Linked DNA regions of Alligator mississippiensis. The protein of the gene in region 1 purifies or fractionates together with the protein of each later gene. This does not show direct contact. Links are inferred from orthologs where the notes say so. Each region holds a gene or a part of one and is shown in the gene's direction. Other genes may lie near its edges.

Evidence for each region.
Region 2: the proteins of CCNF (region 1) and TARDBP purify together in Homo sapiens (affinity purification with western blotting; 3 studies listed by BioGRID, with this or other methods). This does not show direct contact. The link is inferred for Alligator mississippiensis from reciprocal best matches to the Homo sapiens genes CCNF and TARDBP.
Region 3: the proteins of CCNF (region 1) and RBX1 purify together in Homo sapiens (affinity purification with western blotting, with the first as the bait; 4 studies listed by BioGRID). This does not show direct contact. The link is inferred for Alligator mississippiensis from reciprocal best matches to the Homo sapiens genes CCNF and RBX1.

What each region holds. Positions count from the first base shown.
Region 1 is NC_081836.1:27,360,303-27,367,820, reverse strand, and holds the start of CCNF (cyclin-F), read left to right. Parts: upstream 1-4,355; 5' UTR 4,356-4,449; coding exon 4,450-4,462; intron 4,463-7,518. UniProt on the Homo sapiens protein: Substrate recognition component of a SCF (SKP1-CUL1-F-box protein) E3 ubiquitin-protein ligase complex which mediates the ubiquitination and subsequent proteasomal degradation of target proteins.
Region 2 is NC_081836.1:11,855,399-11,863,610, forward strand, and holds the start of TARDBP (TAR DNA-binding protein 43), read left to right. Parts: upstream 1-5,142; 5' UTR 5,143-5,252; exon of another isoform or gene 5,253-5,298; intron 5,299-5,861; 5' UTR 5,862-5,876; coding exon 5,877-6,114; intron 6,115-6,769; coding exon 6,770-6,933; intron 6,934-8,212. UniProt on the Homo sapiens protein: RNA-binding protein that is involved in various steps of RNA biogenesis and processing.
Region 3 is NC_081827.1:97,703,485-97,711,220, reverse strand, and holds the start of RBX1 (E3 ubiquitin-protein ligase RBX1), read left to right. Parts: upstream 1-4,666; 5' UTR 4,667-4,698; coding exon 4,699-4,776; intron 4,777-7,736. UniProt on the Homo sapiens protein: E3 ubiquitin ligase component of multiple cullin-RING-based E3 ubiquitin-protein ligase (CRLs) complexes which mediate the ubiquitination and subsequent proteasomal degradation of target proteins, including proteins involved in cell cycle progression, signal transduction, transcription and transcription-coupled nucleotide excision repair.

The sequences.
Region 1 (7,518 bases):
AAAAGCAGCTAGCGTGATCAACTTTTTTCAAAAGGGACAACATTTCTCATGAAAAGAAGCTAAAATTAACATGGACAACATTCCCAATATTACTTTTTCACATGAGTAATTGTTCTATGTGCTACAGAGACATTATGTAGCCACAAGTGACAGGGGAAGCAAATTTGTGTGATCAAAATTGAGATAACATAGAATACCCCCATGACAATCTCTTAAAATTTGCACTTTAAAAGTTTGGGGACTCCTTAGTCTAATGGTGATAGCAAGGAAGTGAAGGGTTGCAAACCTCAGTCTTAGTCTCAACACTGCCACAGACTTCCTGTGTGACCTTAGACAAGTTATCTAGCTACTCTATCTCAGTTTCACTATCTGTGAGAGAAAAATATTAATGACACGGTATCCGAGTTCCTCAGAGAAAAGCAAGCAATGCATATATTTATTATCTGACGGTTGGTGAATTTCGCAGTCTCAGTCTAGCTTTAGTGTTTCTCAACTATTTTAGATTCAAGCACCCCTCAAAAAATGCCAGCTCTTAGCTTTCACTTATTTCTCAACTCTGTAACAATAGCTTCTCAACTAGTATCAACAATTCTTCTGTTGAAAAGATTTCAGACCACAACAGGTCAGAATGGTTTTGACACTATGAATTCCCTTTTGAAACTTCTGGGTTTATTTTTTGAATCCTAACAATACTAAAATTGCATGGGCCCCCACAGAGCACTCCTAAAAGGATGCCGTGGCACCCTGATTGAGCATCACTAGTCCAGGTTCCTAGTTAAGATGAGCAGGACCTCCAACCCCTGGGACAGACATTACAGATAAACCAGTTTAAGTGATCAGAAACTGGTTTAAACCTGTAACAGAAGAGATGTTCAGTGCACATTAACCAGTTTGAAAATGGCTGAAACTGGTTTGAGATAAATCTGGCTGAATGTAGTATCAGACTTAACTGATTTGGGCCAAACTGGTCTATGCAATATCTGTCCCAGACCCCATCCTGGTTTAAGGTAAATCAGAATCCCCTAGCATCCAGGCATGCTTACTTGGCTGGGTGGGGCTCTCTGCTCCAGAGAGCTAGGCTAGCTCCTCCCCTGTGCTCCCTGGCTGCAGCTCTGGCAAAGACTGCAGGTACAGTGGGGTCTGCCTTGCTCCCTCGTGCTCTCCCCTTCCCCCTCACCCCCTGCTCAAGCAGGGATCCCCCCTCCCCTCTGTCTTATGCGGACACCTCTCAGCATTAGCTAGCATACCACATGCTGGCTATGGTCTGTGCTGCAGGAGACAGGACAAAGGCAGACAGCACAGTGTCAGCTTAGGGCTTTTGGGAGCTAATCAACAGGTAGCTGGTAATGTCCCTCCTTGGAAAAAGTTGTTTAAGAAGAGCTTGAACTAATGAGAGGCTGTTATTAATAAACACTGAGGGGTGATAAACACTGTGTTATCAACTCCCTGCTGGGCTGTTGCGGGGGAGGGGAACCCCTCCCTAATCGGAAAGTTGCAGCTGAGATGCACTGAAAAGGCAATGTAGGATATTTGATCCCTCCAGCTTTGGAAATAAGAGATCCTAGTTATCAATCTACAACTTTTTACTAGCATCAGAATAATTAATAAAAAAAGAATTTGCTAATTAGACAACTTGTACCTGCATGAAAGCTTTTTACAATCCCTTTTCACATTGCAGGACTTGTGTGACTGGCTGTCCTGTGCATAAGAGACCCAGATGTGCTTTGACAATTCTCTTGAGTAAGCAGAAGTCACCATTCCGTTGCAGAGGCAGAAGTGTAGTCATTACTATGCACCTTTCAGTTTAGGAGCAAACACAAATAATTTTTAAGTGATAGGAGTTAGAAGAAAGTGGCTTTGAGATTTACTTTGTTCACCTTGAAATTAAAAAACACAAAATATTGCTACATATTGAATGTTTTGGTTTAATTTTATATGAAAAGACAAAAGTGCTGGGATATTATAGCTTATATAGCTTTATATTATATAAAATGGACAGAAACAGCTGTACTGGGACATAATCCCCTTCAGAGAATGGGTGCATGACTGGCTTAGGTGTTGTGACCCCCTCTGGTGGGGATGGATATGAGGACAGAGCAGGGTACTAGAATAAAAAAAAAAAACCACAAAAAAACATTGAGCACACATTTCTTTTGTTAGATTTTGGAACACCTGAGATTAAGTGTACAATGTACAAAGCAAATGCCTTTATTATTACTTTCCAAGTTTCCCTAGCTAATTTTCATGAGCTCATATAAATATTGTCTCTCCTTTACTATAATCATCTCCTACTGTCTTAGACCACCTAGTAAATAAGAAACATAAAAGCAGCAGCAATACTGTAAACACACACACAAGGATATGGAAAACCCTACTATCATTTAACATACTAGCAAGAAGAGAGTATCAACCAGTATGAGCTATGTCCTCATACCTAAGGACAAGAAAAGTCTCTCTCAGCTTATGGTCTCCAGAGAACTACTCTACCCTGCAAAGAGCTTTTCTTTCTGTTGTCTTCTTTGTGCACAAACTTGTTAAAAACCCACTAATATCTTCAAGGGATGACAAGTACAGCCCCTTCTGCAGAAGCAGACTTGCTCTCCTATCCATTTTCCTCAAGATGCATCTTCATTCTCTCTCTCTCTCCTGAGCACCTCTGTTACTTCCTCCTAAGGCTGTTTCATTTGTCCTTTTCTTTCCTTTCCCAACATCCCATGTGCTTTGTCCTCCTTTCCCTAATCCTGAAGACATTACTTTTTAACTCTTCTGCTATAGACTTTGGTTCTTTTTCTTTCTGTTTCCCTGGACTTCTTCAGCTATTATCTTTCCCCTTCTGCCTCCCAGTCTAAAATCTTAAGCAACTTTTCCCCATACGCTGTTGACATCGAAGCTCTATTCGGAGGTCCCTAATACTAGAGGTGAAGGCTGGTGCCACTTGGCACGGAAGTCACTAGTTCCCAGCACCTCCTCTTAACCCCTTTTCCAGCTGTGCATACCTGCCGAGCCAGAGGGAGGGGGGGATGAAAACATAGGATGGTCTAGAGCAGCATTTTTCAACCCATGGGGTGCAGCCCAAAAATATATGAAAGGTCTCAAACAATCTCATAAAAATGTGGAAAATCGTGTTTTTTTCCTTTAAAGGAGAAAAATGTGGAAAAGTGTTAGCCTGCAAGCTGCCGGCTTGCAAGGGGCAACACATGCATGTGGCAGCCAGGCAGCTTGGAAAGCAGCTCCTGTAGTTCCCCACAGGTAAGTCTATGGGGGGCAATGTGTCCCCCCAGATTTGGGCATCCGCAGCAGGCACGGGGCTGCAGCCTGGCCTGGCCAGACCAGACCAGCACAGACGTGCGACGCAGCACGCAGGAGAGCGGAGCGAGGCTTGTTGCTGCTGCCACCAGGACCCCAGCGCCAGTCGTGCCACCAGCAGCATGAGGAGTAATGGGTGGGGGCTGTGCTGCCCCCACCTCTACCCTGTTGCATGGCGCAGCCAGTGCTGCCGCCCCCTGCAGGCCGCGGCCCTACCCTGGAGGCGGTGGGCGGCAGGCAGTGCAGGAGGCAGGAGGGCAGTGGTGGCGACGGCGGCAGCAGCCAGGCCATGGTGGTGGAGCAGAGCCCAGCACTGCTGGCGGCGCGGGGGCCCTGTGGTGGTGGCGGCAGCCGCGAGTCTTGTCGCCCTGCTCCGCCCTCCCACGCTGGGTCCCAGGCGCTGGGCTGTGGCGGCAGCTCCTGCCCGTGCCCACAAATCGGGGCATGTGCCTCACACGGGGGGCGTGGGGCACTGGCAGGGCTGCGGCCACTCGTGCTCTGCAGCTTGAGGTGGCCGGAGCGACAGGGGCCTGCGAGTTCCGAGCGCCTCCGCACCCAGCTCTGCCTGCAAGGGCCCCCCATGAGGCGCCCGAGCCCTTCCATAGACAGCACAGAGGATGCACGAAAGGCCCGAGACAGCCTCGCCAGGCCGCGCTCACCCCGCTCCCACACCCCCAGGGGAGGACGGGGCCATTTCGCATGCGCCTCCCCTCGGCCCCAGAGCCCGCGAGCGGCGCGCGCCGCTAACCGCCCCAATTCGAATTCGCATCCTGAGCGCCCAATGACAGAGGGGAGGAGGCGGAGCCGAGGCCGCTCCGCCTGCCCCGCCGGCCTTGCAGCCAATCAGGACGGCTGCTGGGTTTGAAAAAAAGTGCGCGCGGTGGATGGGCGTGGCTTGGGCCGCTCTGCAAGCGGAGGGGGCGGGGTTCTGGCGGCGGAGCAGGGGCCGGGTCGGGGCCTGGGCGGAGCTCGCCTCGCTCTCTGCCCGACCCGAGCTGGGGCTGAGGGGCGTGGCCCGGTGCTGGGGGCGTGGCCCGGTCTGGCCCCGCCCCTGGCCGGTCTCCGCCCTCGGCTCCGGCCGCCTGCTCAGTCTGCACCGGCTGCTGCCCACTCGGGTCGCGGGGCGCTCGGCGCGGGGCAGGCATGAGAGCGGACGGTGAGAGCGGGACGCGGGGCCCTGGCCGGGCTCGCTGCGAGGGGCCCGGGCGGTCGGGTGCGTCTGCCCCAGGAGCTGGCTCCGGCCCGGACAGGGGCCGCCGCGGGGAGCCCTGGCCCGGCCCGGCCCGGCCCTGGTTGGCTGGAGCCCGGGAGCGGCGCTGCTTTGGGCGGGTGGATTTAAAAATCCGCAGGGACTGCGCGGGCCGGGGCCGGGGCCGGGGCCGGGGCCGGTCCGCCAGGGGGCACCTCGGGCACCTCCGCCGGGGGGCGCAGCGGGTCGACGCGGGGTGCCGCGACCATAAAATGCCAGAGCGAAGTCCGAGGTGTGAGCCCGCCGTGACCGGCCAGCACGGGCGGCGGGAGCCTGCGGCCGGGGAGCGTCTGCCGGGCCGCGATGCCCGCGCTGGGCTGCTCCTCTTCCGTTCATGGCGGGGGGGGGGGCAGCAACCTCCTGTCTTGTGCCGTCAAGTCTCTTCCCTCCAAAGGGAGAGGCGGCCCCCCCTGCCTCGCAAAAGTGTTTCTGACTCCTCAGGTGCAGAGCAGACACAGTCTCTTCCAAAGTAAATTACTTATTAGTCACCTGTGGAAGAGCATCTAATTAATGATTATGTAATAACTGTTTTATACATACAGGTGAATCACTTACACCTACATCTTATATTTGTGTGTTTGTTTTCTAAGAATATTTTCCTGAAACCAGGTTACTTTAACAAATTATTATTTTTTAATTGTTCTTTCTGCATAAATGGGACAGGAATATTTAAAAACGCCTGAGATTAATGTATTTTGTTTCTTGCTGCAGGCATGCAGGCAGTGCTAGATCTCTTTCTACAACATATTGCCTTCAGTAACTGAAGGAACTTATAGTACATTTGCCTATTTAATCAGGACTTGCTTGGAATATATTGGTGATACAATCTGTGCACACAGTGCAAACATGCTTGTTTATAGCTCATGTGGCAATTTTTGGTAGTCTTCCTCTTAAATGTTCTTGGCCGGGGGAGCCGTGTTGTCAGCTTCAGTTCTCTGAGCTGATGAGTCAGGCTTCAAATCTGACTAAAGGCATCATTGACACATCAGTCTAGATTGCGTTGCCTTATTACTTTACAGTAGATCTCATTCTAGAAGAGAAGAGGAACACCTGCCAGATAGTGGCAATGTCAGAATTGCCCCTTATCACATAGCTATAATCTTTATTCAAAGGTAACTGACATAGCAAGGGGCTCCCACTGAAACAGTGGCCATTGATCTCAAAAGAATTAGTGGGATGCATTCATTTTTGGTATAAAAAGATGTTCTATTCTGGTGCATAGGATGTGGCCACTTTACTTTGCAAAAATACCTATAACTTGTAGTGGGCAATATAGTTCCTCCAGCTGGGTATTTCCCAATCAGTGAGGCAATTCTGAACCTGCGTCAGTGTCACTGGTCCTAGGGAGGAAGCTCAAAAGCAGCCAATCAGACTTTTTCCCTCTAGCTATCTTGGTTCTGCCCTCCTAAATTATGCCACCCAGTGTTTTCCATGGTGGGAACCAGAGAAGCACTTGGCTGTAGGGTTCTCTGTATGCTGGTCTGTTACAATGTGACAGTGAGAATGGAAAACAGAGCAGGCCAGGAAGGCAATCTACAGAAAATCTCTCCTTCTAGTAGTACAACATTAAAAAAAAACCCCCAAACCTTCACCTCTTTGAAATAGTGAAAAATGGGGGTGGAGAATTTTTTCAGAGAAGTTGGTAGCCAGTGCCTTATACAGTAATGGGTTTCTTCATTCTGTCACATCCTCAGCTAAATCAGTCCCTGTGGCCCTACAAATAAATGATGAAATCCTTGCAAAGGGGTTGTTCCTTAAATCTTCCTGAAAAGTCTGGGGAAAACCCAGCTGATCAGACTTTCTGAATAAATTCAGAATCTCATTGGATAAGATCTATAGGCATTTGTACACATACATGGAACAAGAGTGTCAGGTGCTTTTTAAAAGTGCCTGGTGCTGCATCGCATGCATTTGTATAAATGATGAAAAGTGCATCAGCGCTGAGAAAATGGCAGCAGTGCACTTTTGAACTAAAATGAATCGAAGGTGTTTTAGTTCAAAAGTGCACCGCCGCCATTTTCTTAGCACTGATGCGCATTTCACCCTTTATACAAATGTAGGCGATGTAACGCCGGGCACATCAGATTGTGTGCTCCACAGACTTGATTAACTGAGTCTTCTCGGACACACTGGATTTCTGGCATGTTGGAGCAGGTAAAGATGCGTGTATAAATGCCCTATAAGCTGAACTTTAAAGCTACACTTGATGTTGGCAAGAAGAAAAACTGCTTGGTGAGGAGGCCGATGACTCCCTTTGCAGAATTTAAACTCTGTTTTTTTAAGTGTGTGGTTTCAGCACTTCAAGCCAGGTGAAAAAAAGGCCCCTTTCCAGATGCTGACCCAGTGTCTCTGGTGCCAACGGGCAGTTCCTTCCCTTGGGCTGCTGCTTACAGCTCTACATAGTAGGGCTGTGTAAAACAGCACCGTTCCAATTCGACTTCCATTTTGACAATTCAGCGGAACAGTGTTTCGTTTCGAGTTTCGTTTAGTTTTGTTTCGAAAGCACTGTTCCGTTTCGTTTCGTCAAAAGTGTTTTGCTGTTTCAACACTGTTTTGATGTTTTGCCCATAGGTTATGGGGAAACATAAAATGCAGCAGGCAGGCAAATCGTGGGCTCGCCTGCACCCCTGAGAGTGCTGCCGGGGCTGTGCCGGAGACCTCCCAGGGGTGTGGCCCCTGATCTGCCTGCCAGATGAGAGAAGATTGGTGCGCTGCCTGAGACCAGTGCTGAGGAGATCGCTGCTGCCGCCACTCCCAAGCAGCAGCACCTGGCTCCTCATCTGGCAGGCAGATCGGGGGCTTACCCACACCCCTGGAAGGGCTGCGGGGGCTGTGCCGGAGTCCTCCAAGGAGTGCAGGCTCCCGATCTGCCTGCTAGATGACAGACTGGCACTGGGCGCAGCCTGCACCCAGCACTGAAAAGATCAGTGCCGCCACTGGCACCAGGCGGCAGCACCCAGCTC
Region 2 (8,212 bases), about 16 Mb from region 1:
GAAGAAGTTAAGCCTAATGTTGATTAAGCATCAGTTGTCTGGTTTCCAGAGATGCTGTGCACCTGTTGCCCTGAGAATTTAAAGGGGCATACGGATGTGTGGCACCTTAAAAAGGAAACCAGACCAAGAGATTGAATTCAGCTCTCCCTCCAGGCAAGGTGACCTCTCTCTAGAAATTAGATTTATTATTGGATGATATTGGGAATCCCAAAGCTCATGGGAATTAGAAAATGAATCATTCTGTGGTTTGGTCATGGATAGCATGGGTGGAATAGTGTGGGGAAGCACAAGTACAATAATGTAGAAGCAGAATTGTTCTCACCAGGACAGGGGGTGCAACCCTCTGGTTTAGGTTACATAAGTGGAGTAACATAGATAAGGTGCCCTACAGACTTGTCTTTCCACTTGTCCTGTTAACACAGTGACAGGGAGTCCTTTACAGCCCTCCTAATGATTGCTTTACATGACGTCCTGTTCATATATATCTTGAAGTGAAAACGGATTGCATTACAGATGTCTCTGACATACGTGACTTGCAACTAATGTGGCTGTCTTTTGTGATTGATGGACTGAATAAGTTTATCATTTTATTCTGATATTTTTATAATAATGTACAGAAATGTGGAATGGCAATTATCCAGACACATAAAGTGTGATTGATTAAAACTGTAGAAAGGCTATTAATTTATAGTTTTACAGTATTATCACTGCAAAGTATAAAATGTGAGAGTTTAATGTATCTAGAAGGCTATACCCTGGAAAACAGAAAATTGCTATCGTTAATGGAGCCATGCCATGTGGGAACAGTAGTGTTCTTGACAGCCATTGTTCTGCCCCTTCATGTGGTTCATTTACATCCAGCATTTTCTAATGGAAGGAGAAGGGAGAGGTGGAACTCAACACTGTAATGCAGTCAGCAATCCTTTCTACGATGGCTGCATGGAAAACTCTGGATTGAAAGGGTCAGGCAAACTGCCAGGGAGACCTACTCAGTATGCACCTTGAATCTGGAGCTGGTCTGTAATTTTTAAATGAAGGAAGAAAAAGCGTAAAGAAAGGGAAAAAAATCAAGACAAGCCACCTCCCAGTAAACACTAGCTGTGGAAGGATAATACCAGAACTATTAACTGATTTTGCTTCCTTTCCAGTCTGCCTACAAACGAGTTTTGGCCAAGTCAGGGAAAAAGAACTGTTTATTAACTGGAAGACTGTCCCACTCTCATCCTTTCTAAGCACTGGAGGCAACTGAAGATCTCTCAGGAGTTGATATATCAAGAGAGGGCTATGCTCAACATTTCCTTTCTTATGAAATAGTATCTAATCTAGTTGAGATTTGTGTGAGAGCTGTTTTGGAGGACATGAGAACAGCCCGTTTGACCTGTGCAGTTGCCGCACTACCAGTAACTAATCACACTCACCTTCAGAATGAAAGGTGGTATATGGAAACCAATTCTTATTTTATGAACACACCTTTGCACAGCGCATTTATCAACACCAGACCCCAATCTGCCAACCTTCATGTAAGAATTGTGACGGTTTAAGTATGCTGTCAATCTAATGTGTAGGATCTTCTTTCCCTGGACTGCAATGAAATGACATATGGAAATGGACATTAGACAGGGGCTGTGAGAGCAGCTTTGGCTCTCTGGAGAGGCTCAGCCCCAAATATGAGCTGCTGTCTTACCACACAAAGCACAGCCTGTCATTAAGACATTTGTCACATGAACTGACACTTCAACTCAGTTTTGCACAGTTATCTGCACTGCATCAATCCAAAAAACTCCCCCAATCCTAAAAACTTTTTGTAACAGTCAAAGAAGCCTGTTACCTTCTGCAAGCTGCATAAGTTTATTCACTTTGTTCTTCTTCCTGTTCCCAGCAAAAGGCCTCATTAGTCTTGCCTCCTTTGATGCGCCCTTCCCTCCCTTTCACATGATTTGAGCTCCTGCCAGCTTTGTCAGAGAGAACGCATAGGGAAAAATGTTCTTCTATTAAATCACAAAATGAAGAAGTATCTTGTGGGAAGAGGGCAGATGCAGCCAGGCAATCTGAGAATAAGGGCAGCTGGAATGTGGCAGTAGCAACCTAAGAAATAGAGCAGTGACTAGGACACTTAGTATGGTTGTGGGGTGGGGGACGGGACACAGATGACACAACCATCTTTTAGTTATAATACTCTGCAGCTCTCTAGCTCCTTTCTTGGTTGTGGATTGCAAAAGGATTTCACAGATATTTATGAGTTAAGCCTCAACATATTTGTTGGATGTAAATAGCATTACCCCCCTTTTATAAGTGGGTAAACTAAAGAAATGGCAAAAAGGCAAGCTAAACAATACTACCAAAGCAATACCGTGAATTTGCATCAGAGATGGGAATAAAATCCAGGAGCTTCAGGTTCAAGTCCCCAGCTCCAGTCACCAGCCAGTATGTCAACATGGATTAAAGGGGTGTTATTGGGTCAGATATGATCTAGAATTTAGATTTTGCAATTATGCATGATTTCTTTCTCAGGCTGTGGTAAACAAACTCCAGGCTAGATGGATGTTGGTTATGTTCCCTTAGGAATCCACAGGAGCTTAGTCATTCCCTGAAGGAAGAGTTCTTCTAGACTGAGGAACTCAATTAGCTGAGCTCAGTGTTTTCAAAGATTTTCTACATCTCACAAGACCTGCAGAAAATTGGGTTTTTACCCGTAACAAACAGTAGCTAAGCTAACATATATTTGCAGGAGTTGCTAATTAAAAAATAAAACAAAACCCTAAACATCAAATACATTCCCCTGCAATGACCAGGACAAACATGTTAAGATATAGGAATGCACAGTTAAGACCCTTAAATATCCTTAATCCAGTCATCACAAGCTCATGAAATAGCCACAGTTACTACTGAAGCATTTCAGGATATGTGATCCTAGGCTACATTTAAATATTTGTTAAATACACATTAGTTTTTTTCCTTCAGAGCATCACTACAGGCAGCAGATAGTTTTCTGTGTGGTTACAGTCCCTGTTGAGACTCCAGGGGGAAAAGATACGAAAAAACCTTTGTGATCAAGAGTCAGTTGCTTTGAATCTGGGGCCACAACACTAATATGTCCATTGCATCACTACTGAGCAGTATTTTGCAAGAAGGCACCATTTGTTTTTCTGGCTTTGGGAAACTGAGCACAGACCAAGTTCCCCTTGTTGAGTGCCTCTCTTGTTTCTTACCCTATGTTAGCATTAAAATCACCAGTGTTACAATAAATACTCTTCTGGGGAGTGATTACGGCAGCCCCACAATGGTTCTACCTTTAAATCATGTACACACATTTTCAACTTTACCATTGCTTTGGGTTGGGAAAGGTGGATGTCTACCCATAATAATGCCCACCCCATGTAGGAAGACTCCAAGCTTCTGTGCGCTTGACAAACATTGCTTTTTTTATTTTAAAAAAGCTTTCAGTCTTCACATACTTCACAAAGAAGTAAACACTGGAATCCCCTAGGAATCTTGTGTTGGGACCGGTGCTGTTTAATATACTCATAAATGATTTGGAAAAGGAAGTGAGTAGGCAGGTGGCCAAATTTGCAGATGACACAAAATCATTCAAAGTGGTAAAGACCAAGGCAGACCATGAGGAACCACAGAAGGATCTGACACTATTGAGCAAATGGGCAACTAATTGGCAGGTGCAATTCGACGTAGATAAGTGTGAAGTGATGCATCTGGGCAAAAATAGCCCAAACCATACCTGCACTATGCTGGGCTCCACATGAGCTGTTACCACACAGGAAAGAGATGTGGGAGTGATCGTGGGCAGTTTGCTAAAAACATCAGCTCAGTGCTCGGCAGCTGTCAAAAAGCAAACAAAACATTAGGAATGATTAAAAACGGAATTATAAACAAAACAGAAAGTATCATTATGTTCCTTTTTAAATCCATGGTGCGGCCACATTTTGAATACTGTACCCAGTTCCGGTTCTCGCGCCTCCAAAACATAGAAGAACTAGAGAAGGGCAACCAGGATAATAACAGTATGGAGGGGTTTCCATGCAAGGAGAGTAAAAAGGCAAGGCCTAGTCATCTTACAAAGGAGATGCTTGAGGTGGGACATGATAAGGGTTTACAAGGAGATGCTTGAGGCAGGACATGATAAGGGTTTACAATACACTAAATGGCAAAGAGAAAGCAAATAGGGATTTATTATTGACCATCTCTCACAATACAAGAACTAAGGGTCACAAAATGAAATGAGTAGGTGCCAAGTTTTAACCAAACATGGCATTGGTGATGCGTAGGGAGTGCATGCAGGTGCATGTGCACCCCGAGATTGGCCATGCACCCCTGGAAGTGCCAGCCACAAAACCGGAGGTGCTGGCAGAAGCGCACTTTTGGGTTTGCGGGTGTCGCTGCTCCAAGCAATTATTACTGAGTGGGGATGCAAGGGGCAGGGCCTCTGAATCAGAGGTCCCTAGACTAGGGTGGGCAAAATGCGGCCCATGGGCCACATGCAACCCACCAGGCCATTATATTCGGCCCACGGAGCCCCTGAAAGTTTAGAAATGTTATATTTATCTGTCCCCGGCTGCCTCTTACATGGTTCTCAATGGCTTGCCAAAACCCTCCGCACAAAATAATTGTCCGCCCCTACCCTAGACCTTAAATGCTGGAGGCTGCAAGCAAGAGGAAGAGAGGGGAAACCCCCCTGGACAAATGAAGACACCAGAGGGATGCAGGAAAGTCACAGGTTTAAAACAAGGGGGCACCGCCACGGCCCGACCCAGGCACGTGCAGCCCCACGTCCACGCAGCTGCCTTGGAGGCAGGCACTGAATGGGAGGTGCCACCTCCCCGCGGGAACAGCGCGGCCACGCCCCCTGCGGAGCCACGGACAAAGCCCCGCCCCCACCTTCTCTGCCAACCCCCCCAACCTACGCATGCGCGTTGGCGGCGGAGTGGGCCGTACCACTTGGTGCCCCGTGGTAGGGGCGGCGGGAGGGAGGGCTTGCCCCGCTGCTGCTTAGGAAGGCTCGGTTCCGCCTGAGGAACATTTAAGTTTTGAGCGAGGCCTGTGTTACCCCGTCCCACGCAGGCCCGGGGCTCTGCAGCGTGCTGCTTGCCCCCTCGGTGGGAATGGTTCAGCCCGGGGCCGGGCCCCACGAGTGAGAAGCGCCCGCGCCGCCATTTTGTCGGCAGCGGCAGGAGGCGCTTTCAGCCCCTCAGCGCGGACCCTACACCCCACACCCACCCCGCCGCTCAAGCCCCGCACCGGTGAGCACGGCGCGGGGGGCCGGTCCCTGCGCGCGGGCCGGGGCAGGTAGGCCCCGAGACTCGCGGAGCGCGAGCGGCCCGGGATGGGGCCTAGCAACTGGGCCCAGTGCGGCGGCGGGGGGGGAAGGGCACCTAGCTGGTCACGTGGTCTCGCCTTCCCCCCCCCCCCCCCGGCCTTGGAATGGTCCGGTCCCTGCTCCCCTCCAGTTCTCCCCCGCCCGAGTGGTCTCGTCCTGCTCCTCCTTCCCCCGCCCCGCCCCCGCAGCTGCGGAGTTGTGACCTCTCCTGCAGCTCGGCCCCCGGGCCGCACCTGTGACAGCCCAGGGTACTGCAGGGCACCCGGGCATCAGACCCTCTGAGCAGTTGGGGGGAGGTGGAGGGATGCTTTTGGGGGCCACTGCACACTTCCCCGGGTCTCGGCACAACGTCAGTGGTGCATGAAGCATGACAAAGAACATGGGGGTTGTTACTAGTGCCTTAGAACATAAGTATTTGGGATGTCCTGCGGCAAAATGCACCGTGTTGAAACAAATAGGACTGTAAATGCTACCCTAAGTAGAAATTGCTTACCTCTGTGTGTGTCTTTTTTTTTTTTTTTCAATCCATTAGTATCCTCCAGCGAAGATGTCTGAGTACATCCGAGTCACCGAAGACGAGAATGACGAGCCCATTGAGATCCCCTCGGAGGATGATGGCACCGTCTTGCTGTCGACGGTCACCGCCCAGTTCCCAGGAGCGTGTGGCTTGCGTTACAGGAACCCGGTGTCTCAGTGTATGAGGGGAGTCCGGCTGGTGGAAGGAATCCTGCATGCCCCAGAGGCTGGCTGGGGAAATCTAGTCTATGTCGTTAATTATCCCAAAGGTTTGTTGTCTGCGTTCCTGAACTTACCTGTCAGTTGTGGCTGCATTGCAGAGTGATTGTTGCTCTTTTAGGTCCTCTGACATGTGGGGTTATATTTAACCCTAAAGGTACTTGGAACAACCAAACATTGTACCCATGTTTGTAAAGGGTTTCAAATCTTTTGGGGAACTTCTAAAGCCCCCAGTCCTATAATAATCTCTGTGCGGTGGCAGATGTTTGGCCACGTGACAGTCATACCAAGATTGGAGGCAGACATCGTTGTTATTGGGAGAGGGTAGGGCAAGACGAAGATGAAAAGGAAAGAAAATGAACTAAGGAGAATGTTTTTTGGTTTGGATTGAGCTGTCTTGTCTCAGCTGGTATCTGTCGCTTACATATATCAGGCAGGCATGTGAATATCATTGAGCAGTTCTGCAGTAGAAAGTAGCTGAACTTGTGATATAACTGAGGGTTTAAGCCTTTAACTTCTCTGCCCCTGCCCCGAGATTATGGAACAGTCTGAATTATAACATGTAGACAAGAAATGCCATATGTCCCTTTTACAGTTTAAATTTCCTACAACAGGTGCTTTCTTTTACAAAGGATCCTTGTATTGTGCTGCTTATGACTGGTGATACAGTTTGAGGATAATTTTTTATGCATGTTTTAATTTCAGATAACAAGAGAAAAATGGATGAAACAGATGCGTCATCAGCAGTGAAAGTGAAACGAGCAGTGCAGAAGACTTCTGATTTGATAGTTTTGGGCCTTCCTTGGAAAACCACTGAACAGGATCTAAAGGAATATTTCAGCACTTTTGGAGAAGTTCTGATGGTGCAGGTAGAGTTCTGCTATACTTTCTCAAGGAGAGTGCCATGGACTCCCACTTACAAAACTTTCTGAATGAGTCAGTAGTATATTAGTACAGGAGAGCCTCACCATTTGCGGGGGATATGTTCTTGAGATCCCTGTGAATGGGGAAATTTGCGAATACGTTCATGAACATCTGCATTCGTGAATGGTGTGCACTGGCGGGAGCCTGGTGGTGGCAAGCACACACCTTCCACAGATGCTGCTGCTGCCATAACGCTATAAGGGAGAGAGCATGGGTTTGAATATTTGAAACTGAATCTGCAAATAGTGAGGGTTTCCTGTAATTGTGATAAAATCTAATTTGCAGTGTGCTGTGCTTTTCTTGGCTGCATTGTCGTGCTCAGATAGAACAATCCCTTTTCTGCAGCTCTGTTCTTGTCTAGAGTAGTGCACATGAGATCCAGAAAAAGTCTGTTTTGTTTTGCTTCTGCATGTTAGTTTGTTGTTAAGTAGCTTCGTTACTTTAAAGACTTGTGTTTTATAGTTCTTGTCTGAGCGTTAAGTTTAGCTTTGTCTGAGGTATTAAAACAATTCCCTACTGAACCCCGTTGTTTTTTGCAATGGTAACTTACGCATTCTGATTTCATGGGTATAATGTCTGTAGGTGGGGGGGGTTTCCCTGCCTTTATTCCTGTCTGTGCTAGGGATTATTTCATAAGGCAATGAATGGCATAAGGCCGCAGCTGGAATACTGCATCCAATTCTGGGCTCCACAATTCAAAAAGGATGTCGAGAAGCTTGAGAAAGTCCAGAGGAGAGCCATGTGCATGATCAGAGGGCAAGAGAATAGGCCCTGTGAAGAGAGGCTGAGAGCCATGGGACTCTTCAGTCTGGAAAAGCGCAGGCTCAGGGGGGACCTGGTGGCCACCTATAAGTACACAAGGGGTGGTCATCAGGATCTGGGAGAATGTCTGTTCACCAGAGCACCCCAAGGAAAAACAAGGACCAACGGTCATAAACTCCTACGAGACCGTTTTAGGCTGGACGTAAGAAAACATTTCTTTACTGTCCGAGCCCCCAAGACCTGGAATAGACTCCGTCTAGATGTGGTGCAGGCACCTACTCTGGACGTATTCAAGAACTGCTTGGATGCTTATCTCGCTGGGGTCCTTTGACCCTAGCTGACTTCCTGCCCCTGGGGCAGGAGGCTGGACTTGATCTTCGAGGTCCCTTCCAGCGCTAAGCTATCTATATTGAGCTAAGTAATCAAAACTTCACATTGCACTCTTTCAGCAAGTAGTATTTC
Region 3 (7,736 bases), on another chromosome or scaffold:
GGAAAACATTCTGTGTTAATGCTCATAAATCAAATAAGGCATTTTCTTGCAATTATGATGACTTATCTTGGTAGTTTTTATAACCTGTAGACTTAGACCCTGATTCTGTAAAGTATACGTATGCATTTAATTTTAAACAGAAGAAAATGTAGCTTTTGAACACTAGTTATATTGAAAACAATGGCAAAACTCCCATTTAGTGTGACCGTTACCGTCCCTGTATTATTTACCTCTAACTGGATGTTCACTTTGTGGAATCAGAAAAAATATATGCCTTAAACTTTGATTATTTTAGTTATAAGATGACATAACCGCTTTGTGTAGAATTGCTGGCTCTGTACAGTAGAACAGATAAGGGCAAGTGTTTGTTCTTTGTAACTCCTCTGCAACTGCTTTGCTCACCGTGGCCTTGAAGGTAACAAAAGAAAAGTATATACAAAGTTAATTTCCAGGTGCAAGGAGGTTTGTGAACTAATCTCGCCTCCCCCATTAGTTCCCATCCTGATTACAGCAAAAAAATAATGAAGTAATATTATAGCCGCTTTTCATGCTAATTTCACTATATGATCACGTGAGTTGTAAGCAACTGTTAAAAAGTATATAAGCCTCCTGATTTTGCTCTGGGGGGGGGACCCCTTCCAAGTGCTTGGGAAATCCATGTCACTTTGGAACTCCCCCTACAGCTGTAGTTTCTTTTGAATAAAAGCTTCTGCTGACCTGACCCAAAAGTATGCTGCGTGTGTTTCCACGACAACTTATAACTGATTAAACGCTTCCAAACACCACATTGTAATATGCAGTGGGTGTCCAATAAAACCTGACTGGATTTTTTGTGGAAAGGTGATAGCCTAAGTTTTCGTTGTTCCAAAGTCAAGAACTTATTTGACATATTTCCCAAGATGAGAGAGATAAAAGCTCCCTGCTTCTGCACCCTACTCCTTGCATCTATATGGAATCAAAGGTTTGGAAGGGAATAAGTCACTGTAGGAAGAGTCTCTGTGGATTCACCAAAAGGCCTGGTCTCTGATGAAATGTTAGGTGCAGGAAGGCAGTATGATCTAGTCAATAAAATGAAACCAGACTTAAGAGATGTGGCTTGTGCTCCTGATTAAAGATCTCAACTTTTTATTAAACACACTAAGTCTTTTGGTTTTGGTATTTCTCATATTGAGTCTTTGGGCCAAAGTGAACATTATCTACAATTAGGTAATTAAAAAGGACCTTTTTATTCCATATGTGATTACATTTTGAGAATTTGAAATATAAAAAAGAAAATTCTCAGTTACTATTTCAGCACCAGGCCTAACTCTGCCAGTTATAGTAGCTGCCTACGTACCTGGACCTAGGCCAAAGACACCCTATATCAGTGTTTCTCAACCTCTGGCCCACAGGCCAGATTTGGCCTGCAGAGCCATGTCATCTGGCCCGTGAGGCTTCCCATAGGTCTGGAAATTTAGCAGTGGTGGAGCAGTGGCAATGTTAATTGCTGCTTCCTACTGACAAATGTCTAGTACCATGGGGAGCCCCACAGGCTGGGTAATGCAAACCTGTGTACCAGATTGTGCCAGCATGTGGTCAGATCAGTATGCAGGATCACTCTGCAGCCAGGTCTAGCATGATTGGGTTGGCATGTGGGCAGATCTGGTGTGTGGGTTGAGCCATTATGGAGGATAATGACGATGCTGCTGCTGATGAAGCAAGTGTCACCACACTCATATGTCAGAAGCATGGGGACCAGAAAGCTAGAAGCAGGTAGAGTGGTCAATGTCAGTAAGACCGTGGGCACCCGAAGGAGGGCCATAAGGGCATTCATAGATGGTGTTGTTGGCTATCTGAGCTTGAGCCCCACAGCTGCAGCTAGCCTTGTTGGAGAGGCCCCAAGAGTGCATGCTCGCCTTAAACTGTCCAGTGCCCCTTCTGAGATGGTTAAGAGCAGTTCAGGCCCTGTGGGGCAGCCGCCATCCTGAGGGGTAGAAGCTGGTATTGGGGATGAAGTTCTTTAGCTTCAGTTTTTGTGCAGCATCATTGGCGATGCATAGGTGGTACACATGTGTGCACGTGCACTTCCTAAGATTGGTGGTGCACCCCAAGCGAAAAGCACTGCTGACACTGCCAACAGTGCCTGCGGGCAATTACCACTCACCACCCCACCACCCTTGTCGCTGACACCGCTGTGGCTGCCTGTGGGAGCTTCCCATTTGGCCTGCCTTCACTGCCAGCACCACCACAGCTGCCTGCAGGAGTTTTCTGCTCCCCGACACCGTGCCGCTGACACTGCCTGCAGGCAGTTGCCGTGCCCCACCAGCCTCAGGGAGCACACAGCGTTCATGTGCAGCATATTGCCTACTCCACTGATAGGAGGTCCATTCTGTAGGTGACATGCCATCTGCAGATTCAATGATCTTATTGGACTGAGTGGAGAACCAGTTCCAAGGCTTCAGGTAGTAGTTGGTTTTCTCGCTTGCAGCTACTGGGCTGGAGTGCAGAGTGGCCTAGATCTTGGGCTTTGAGGCCTAGAACCAGGGTAGCAGCTTGCCTCCAGATGTTAGGGGAGGGAATGCTTGAGAGGGTTGGTAGACAAGGTTCCTTGGGTGAATTTGATATCTTTTATTAGACCAACCCGAGAGGGTTGGTAAGCAGTCACCTGGAGTTGGCATAAGGCCCTTGTTGGTAATGGTCCTCATGCGCTGTGAAGGCTGGAATCCAGTAACTTAGTGTGCATGCTCTGGCCCCATACTGGTGCATAGTACTCAGCAGGAGCATATGTAAGTGCCAGAGCAGAGCTGCGAAGTGTTTGGAAACTTGTGCCCCAGGTGGAAGATTATGCCATGGAGGATTACACCTGCAGACTGACTCCATGTGTTGCTTCCTGCGTGGGAGTTGACCTGTGGACTGACCCCTGCACCACTCATCTGGCCTGTGGGACCAGATCCGGCACCACTGTTCTACATAAAGATCAGAGAACCCCTAAGTTGCATTCCCCAAGTCAAAGTGTTCTTGACGTTGCCACTCAGGACGTGCCTACACTGGTGATTCTCAGCTAGGTGCCATGCTGCCGAGATGCTTTCAAGGGTGTCTATGGACAGAGCTAGAATTTTGAAAAGGGAGATACAGATGGTGTGGGTCCGCATCGCCATCACATATGAAACAACATGTTTTTCTCCAGTTAAAAAAGAAACTAGGAGCTTCATTAATAAGTAGGGGCCTACTGCTATATTATTCAAGACTGAAGAAAAAAAAACTTCATTGGAATGTGTGTTTTCTATATCCTATATTATGGGTAAAACCCCAACAAACTGGGCAAAAAATAATCCAAATATGTTGTCTTGTTAGTCCTGGAGTCATTAAAGGTGTGCCTCTCTCTTCAGACTCATGAAGCAAAATCAAGCCTTCCTGAGCACCTGGACAGTGCCTCCCAGGCTGCACTGAAAGCCACGTCTATGCCTAAGCCTAATGTTCATGCTAGTTAATATGTCCACGCCCAAGTTAGCGTTTCTAGCTAGAGGTAAAACAGGCTGCAGGGCTGCAGAACAGGTGCTGCCCGACGGGGAGCAGGGGGGAGGCCCAGGAGGAAGGAGAGCTGGAGCAGTGGAGCCAGGACAGCAGGGGATCGGCAGGGGGGAACGGAGAGGTCACAAGGGATCAGGGCCCTGGCAGGGGTGGGCAACCCGCAGCACGGGTGACAGCGGGGCACATGAAGGCATTTTGCTCGGCAGGCGGAGAGGCCGATGGGCAGGGGCTGGTCTGTGTTGCCGTAACAGGGATCGGGTCCCCCGCAGCTCCTCTACTGTCTGCCCCTGGCAGCCGGCATCTTTCCAGTCAGGGTTGCGGGTGCTTTTGGCACCACCCAACAAGACACTGCGGCCTGTGTCATAGAGGAGCGGGGCGGGGTGGGGCCTCCACAGGTCTTAGAGCCCAACCCCTGCCCGAGGCAAGATCGTCCCTCAGCGCGGCCTGCCCGCAGCGGCCCCTGCGCTTGGCTGTGACCTCTGGGGGAGCAGGAATCAAGGGCGGGGCGGGGCAGAGTGGCGCCAGGGCTCCCGCCCGCCCCGCCGCTTCAAGCAGGGCCGCAGAGCGCCGCGGGCGGCTCGGGGAGCCCGGTGTTCTGCGCAGGACAGGCGGCCCTGGGGGCGGCTTGTTCTATTTGTTGCCTTTTTTTGGCCGGGGTAAAAAAAACAACCGCGAGTGAACGCCCCGAGCTGCCGCTTCATACGGGGCTGCCTTGAAGCCCGGCCTGAGGCTACCAGGCCTGAGAGCCGCTGTAGCACCCGCGGCTGCTTGTGTGAGGCTACGCCCAGACCGGTGCTGGCAGCGGGGGCGCGGAGCTTCGCTGGCCCGCAGCAACGAGAAGCCGCTGCTGCTCCGAGGGAACAGCCCGCGCTGCGCCCCGGGGCGCTCGCGTGCGAACCAAGCCGCGCGGGGGGGCGGGACAGGACAGGCCCACGAGCTGCGTCAGCGGTAGTTGGGTGCCTGCGCCTTTAAGTGCAGGCCCAGGTTGTGCAACCCCCGTGCTGGGTGGGGGGAGGGGGCGCCGGCTATGGGGCTCCGCCCTGGCCAACGCCTTTAAGTCACGTGGTCTGCCTGCCCTGCCCCATACACCTGTTTACGGGCGGGGCGGGGCGAGCAGAACAGGGACGTGGCCACGTGACTTCCCGTCCGTGACGCCGCGCATGCGCGCCACCAAGTCACGCACTCAAAATGGCGGCGGCAATGGATGTTGATACCCCGAGCGGCACTAACAGCGGCGCCGGCAAGAAACGCTTCGAAGTGAAGAAGGTGAAGCTACGGCAGCCTCGGCCTGGCGGGACGGCGGAACCCGCGGGGCCGATTGCCTGACTGCAGCAGGGGCCAGCGGGCGGGGGTGGGAAGGCGCTTATTCCGCGCGGGCCCGGCTCCGGCTCCGGCTCCACAGGAGCAGCTGGGGCGGGGCTTGCGGGCGGATTGGCGCAGCGCCGGGCCAATGGGCGAGGCGGGATCGTCCCACGTGGAGTTGGAGAGGCCCACCCGCGGGGTCCTGGCGGCGCGTGCTGCGGCGGAGTGGCGCTGCTGCTGGCGGGCGGGGCCGCTGGTAGGGGTGGGGTGCAGCCCCCAGGCCCTTCTGTCTCCTTGGTAACCAGGCTGCCGTGCTGTGCCGCCCCCGTCCGCCTCCGCACATGCAGCTGCCTGTCACTGTCGGGCGCGCCCTGCCCCCGGTGCCTGCCTCGAGCCCTAGAAAACGAGGGTTGGGAGGGAGCTAAGGAGGCCACATCTAGTCCAGCGTCCTGCTTGGAGAAGGACCAGCCCCAACTGTCTTATCTTGGCCAAGGCTTTGTCTAGCCAGGGCTTAAGAACCTCCAAGGACAGTGATTGCGCTTCCTCTGGGCAACCTGTTCCAGTGCTTTACTACCCTCCCCCTGAGAGAGCGTTTTCCTAATATCCAACAAACTTCCCTTGTTGCAACTTGAGACAGTTGCTCCTTCTTCTGTCATCTGCCACCACTGAGAACAGTCCAGCTCCATCCTCTTTGGAACTCTCTTCAAGTGGTTGAAAGCTGCTACTAAGTCCCCTCTTGGTCTCTTCTCTAGACTGAACAAGTGCAGTCCCTCTGCCTCTCCTCAGAAGTCACATGCCCCAGCCCCCAAATGGTTTTCATTGCCCTCTGCTGGACTCTCTCCAGTTTGTCCACATCATTTCTGTAATGGGGGTGCAACACTGGCCACAGTACTCCAGATGTGGCCTCACTTGTGCCAAATAGGGGGGAAGGCTCACTTCCCTCGATCTGCTAATGCAGCCTGGTATGGTGTTGGCATTCTTCACAAGGGCAACTAGCTGGGTATCGTGTAGTCCAGGTGTTGTCCTCCCACCGTGGAAATGGTATAGTGCAACCTTTTGCTGCTGTGGGCTGCTGTTTGCTACGCTGCCTACATCACAGGCTGCAAATCTGTGTTCCTGAGAAGCACCAAAGTTGCTTACGTTTACTTCAGCTTCCGATCCCTATCTCCACGGCAGTGGGATGGGCAAACCGTGTGGTGGGAGTAAGTACGGGTGCAAGAGAGCCATAGGGAGGGCTGCAGAGAGCATGGGTGGCACAGTGCAGCTGAATGCTGCTGTTGCCCTTAGCTGGACTCAACCCCTCTGCAGACCGTAGGTTACCAGCCTTCAGGATAGTTCTACAGAGGCCGTAATTGAATGATGAAAAGATCATTTTGATTATTCTTTTTAATAGTGGGCCAAATATTGGGTACTATCGGTGGTAGCTTCTCTTGATAGAGTCATCTTCTAGGGTTAAAATGGAAGCACCACGAAAACCTGGACTGGACAAGCATAGGAAACTATACTGTAGAGCAGTAATTTTCAACCATGGTGGTGTGGCTCCCTGGGGTGCCATGAGATCCTTTTAGGGGTGTTGTGGCATGCTGCTTCATATTAGCATGGTTAGTTGTGCAAACCTGGTTTGCTAGATAAATGCAGAGATTTCAAGTAGGAATCCATAGTGTGAGAAACATCCTGATATGTTCTTCACAGCAGAAGAATTGCTTTATTATTTTTCTGTACTCAAAAATGAGCAGAAACTAAGAGATGGCATTTTCCAAAGGGAAATGAGTCTGAGAAAGTCGAGAATCACTGCTGTAATGAACAGCAGAGTACCAGAAAGGGGAGGAACAAAATATTCACATCAATGCTAACACAAACAGCCTTAAGTGAGAGGTTATACTAGTTACAACGTGATGTTAAACTGTTGTGACTATTGATACTAAGATAGAATATGGAAGAACTACTTTTCTTCCTATTTTAAGGAGTGAGAGAAGGGAGAGATCAGGGATGTTATGTTATATCTGTTTTCTGTATCTTAGAAAAATAGGGTTGGAAAGGACCTCATAAGGGCAGCTAGCCTAACCTCCTGCTTGAGGTTCCCTGTCATCATCCCTGTCTGAACCATCCCAGCTAGGTGTTTGTCTAAACTGCATTTAAAATCTTCCACTGATAAAGATTTCCACAGTTTCCCTAGGTAATCTGCTCCAGTACTTAACCACCCTTATAACTAGAAAGTTCTCCCTAACATCCAATCTAAATTTCTCTTACAGTTTAAGATCAGTGTTTCTTGTCCTATCCCATATTGAAAAATAGCTGCCCACCACTGTCTCTATACCAGGGGCGGGCAATTATTTTGGGCAGAAGGCTGCTTACTCAGTTTTGGCAAGCCACTGAGGATCACATGACAGGCAGCCCAGGGCAGATTAATATTAATTTTCTAAATTTTTTATGGGCCCCACGGGCCGGATAGAACAGCCTGGCAGGTTGCATCTGGCCCACAGGCCACATTTTGCCCACCCTATACCAACCCTTTTTTTTCTTTGAAGACTTACCAAATTGTCTTCTCCAGACTAAACAGTTCCAGTTCTTACAGCCCCTCTTCTGTTTTATTTGGCTATGATTCTTTTATCTTGGGTTAATTTTCACATGCTGTCCCCTTGAATTCATAGCAGGCCCTCCTCTTATAGGCCTTTGTAGCTATGGAGGTGAGTGAGGTTTTTCTTTTTAATGGCTTAAAGTTGGAGCTGAGGATTCCCAATTATTTTTTTCTTTCTGTGAGTGTCTATAAGCAGGTGTCTAAGTAACCTATGGTGTTTTGAAGGAGGACATTTGGGAATCACTGTAGAGTAATGTAAGGGCTGTTCCCAGTAGTTGGTTGCCTCTACTTAGGAGAGTGATTGCTCATTGGTAAAAGGTTACTGCATTACTGCTTATGGTGGTAA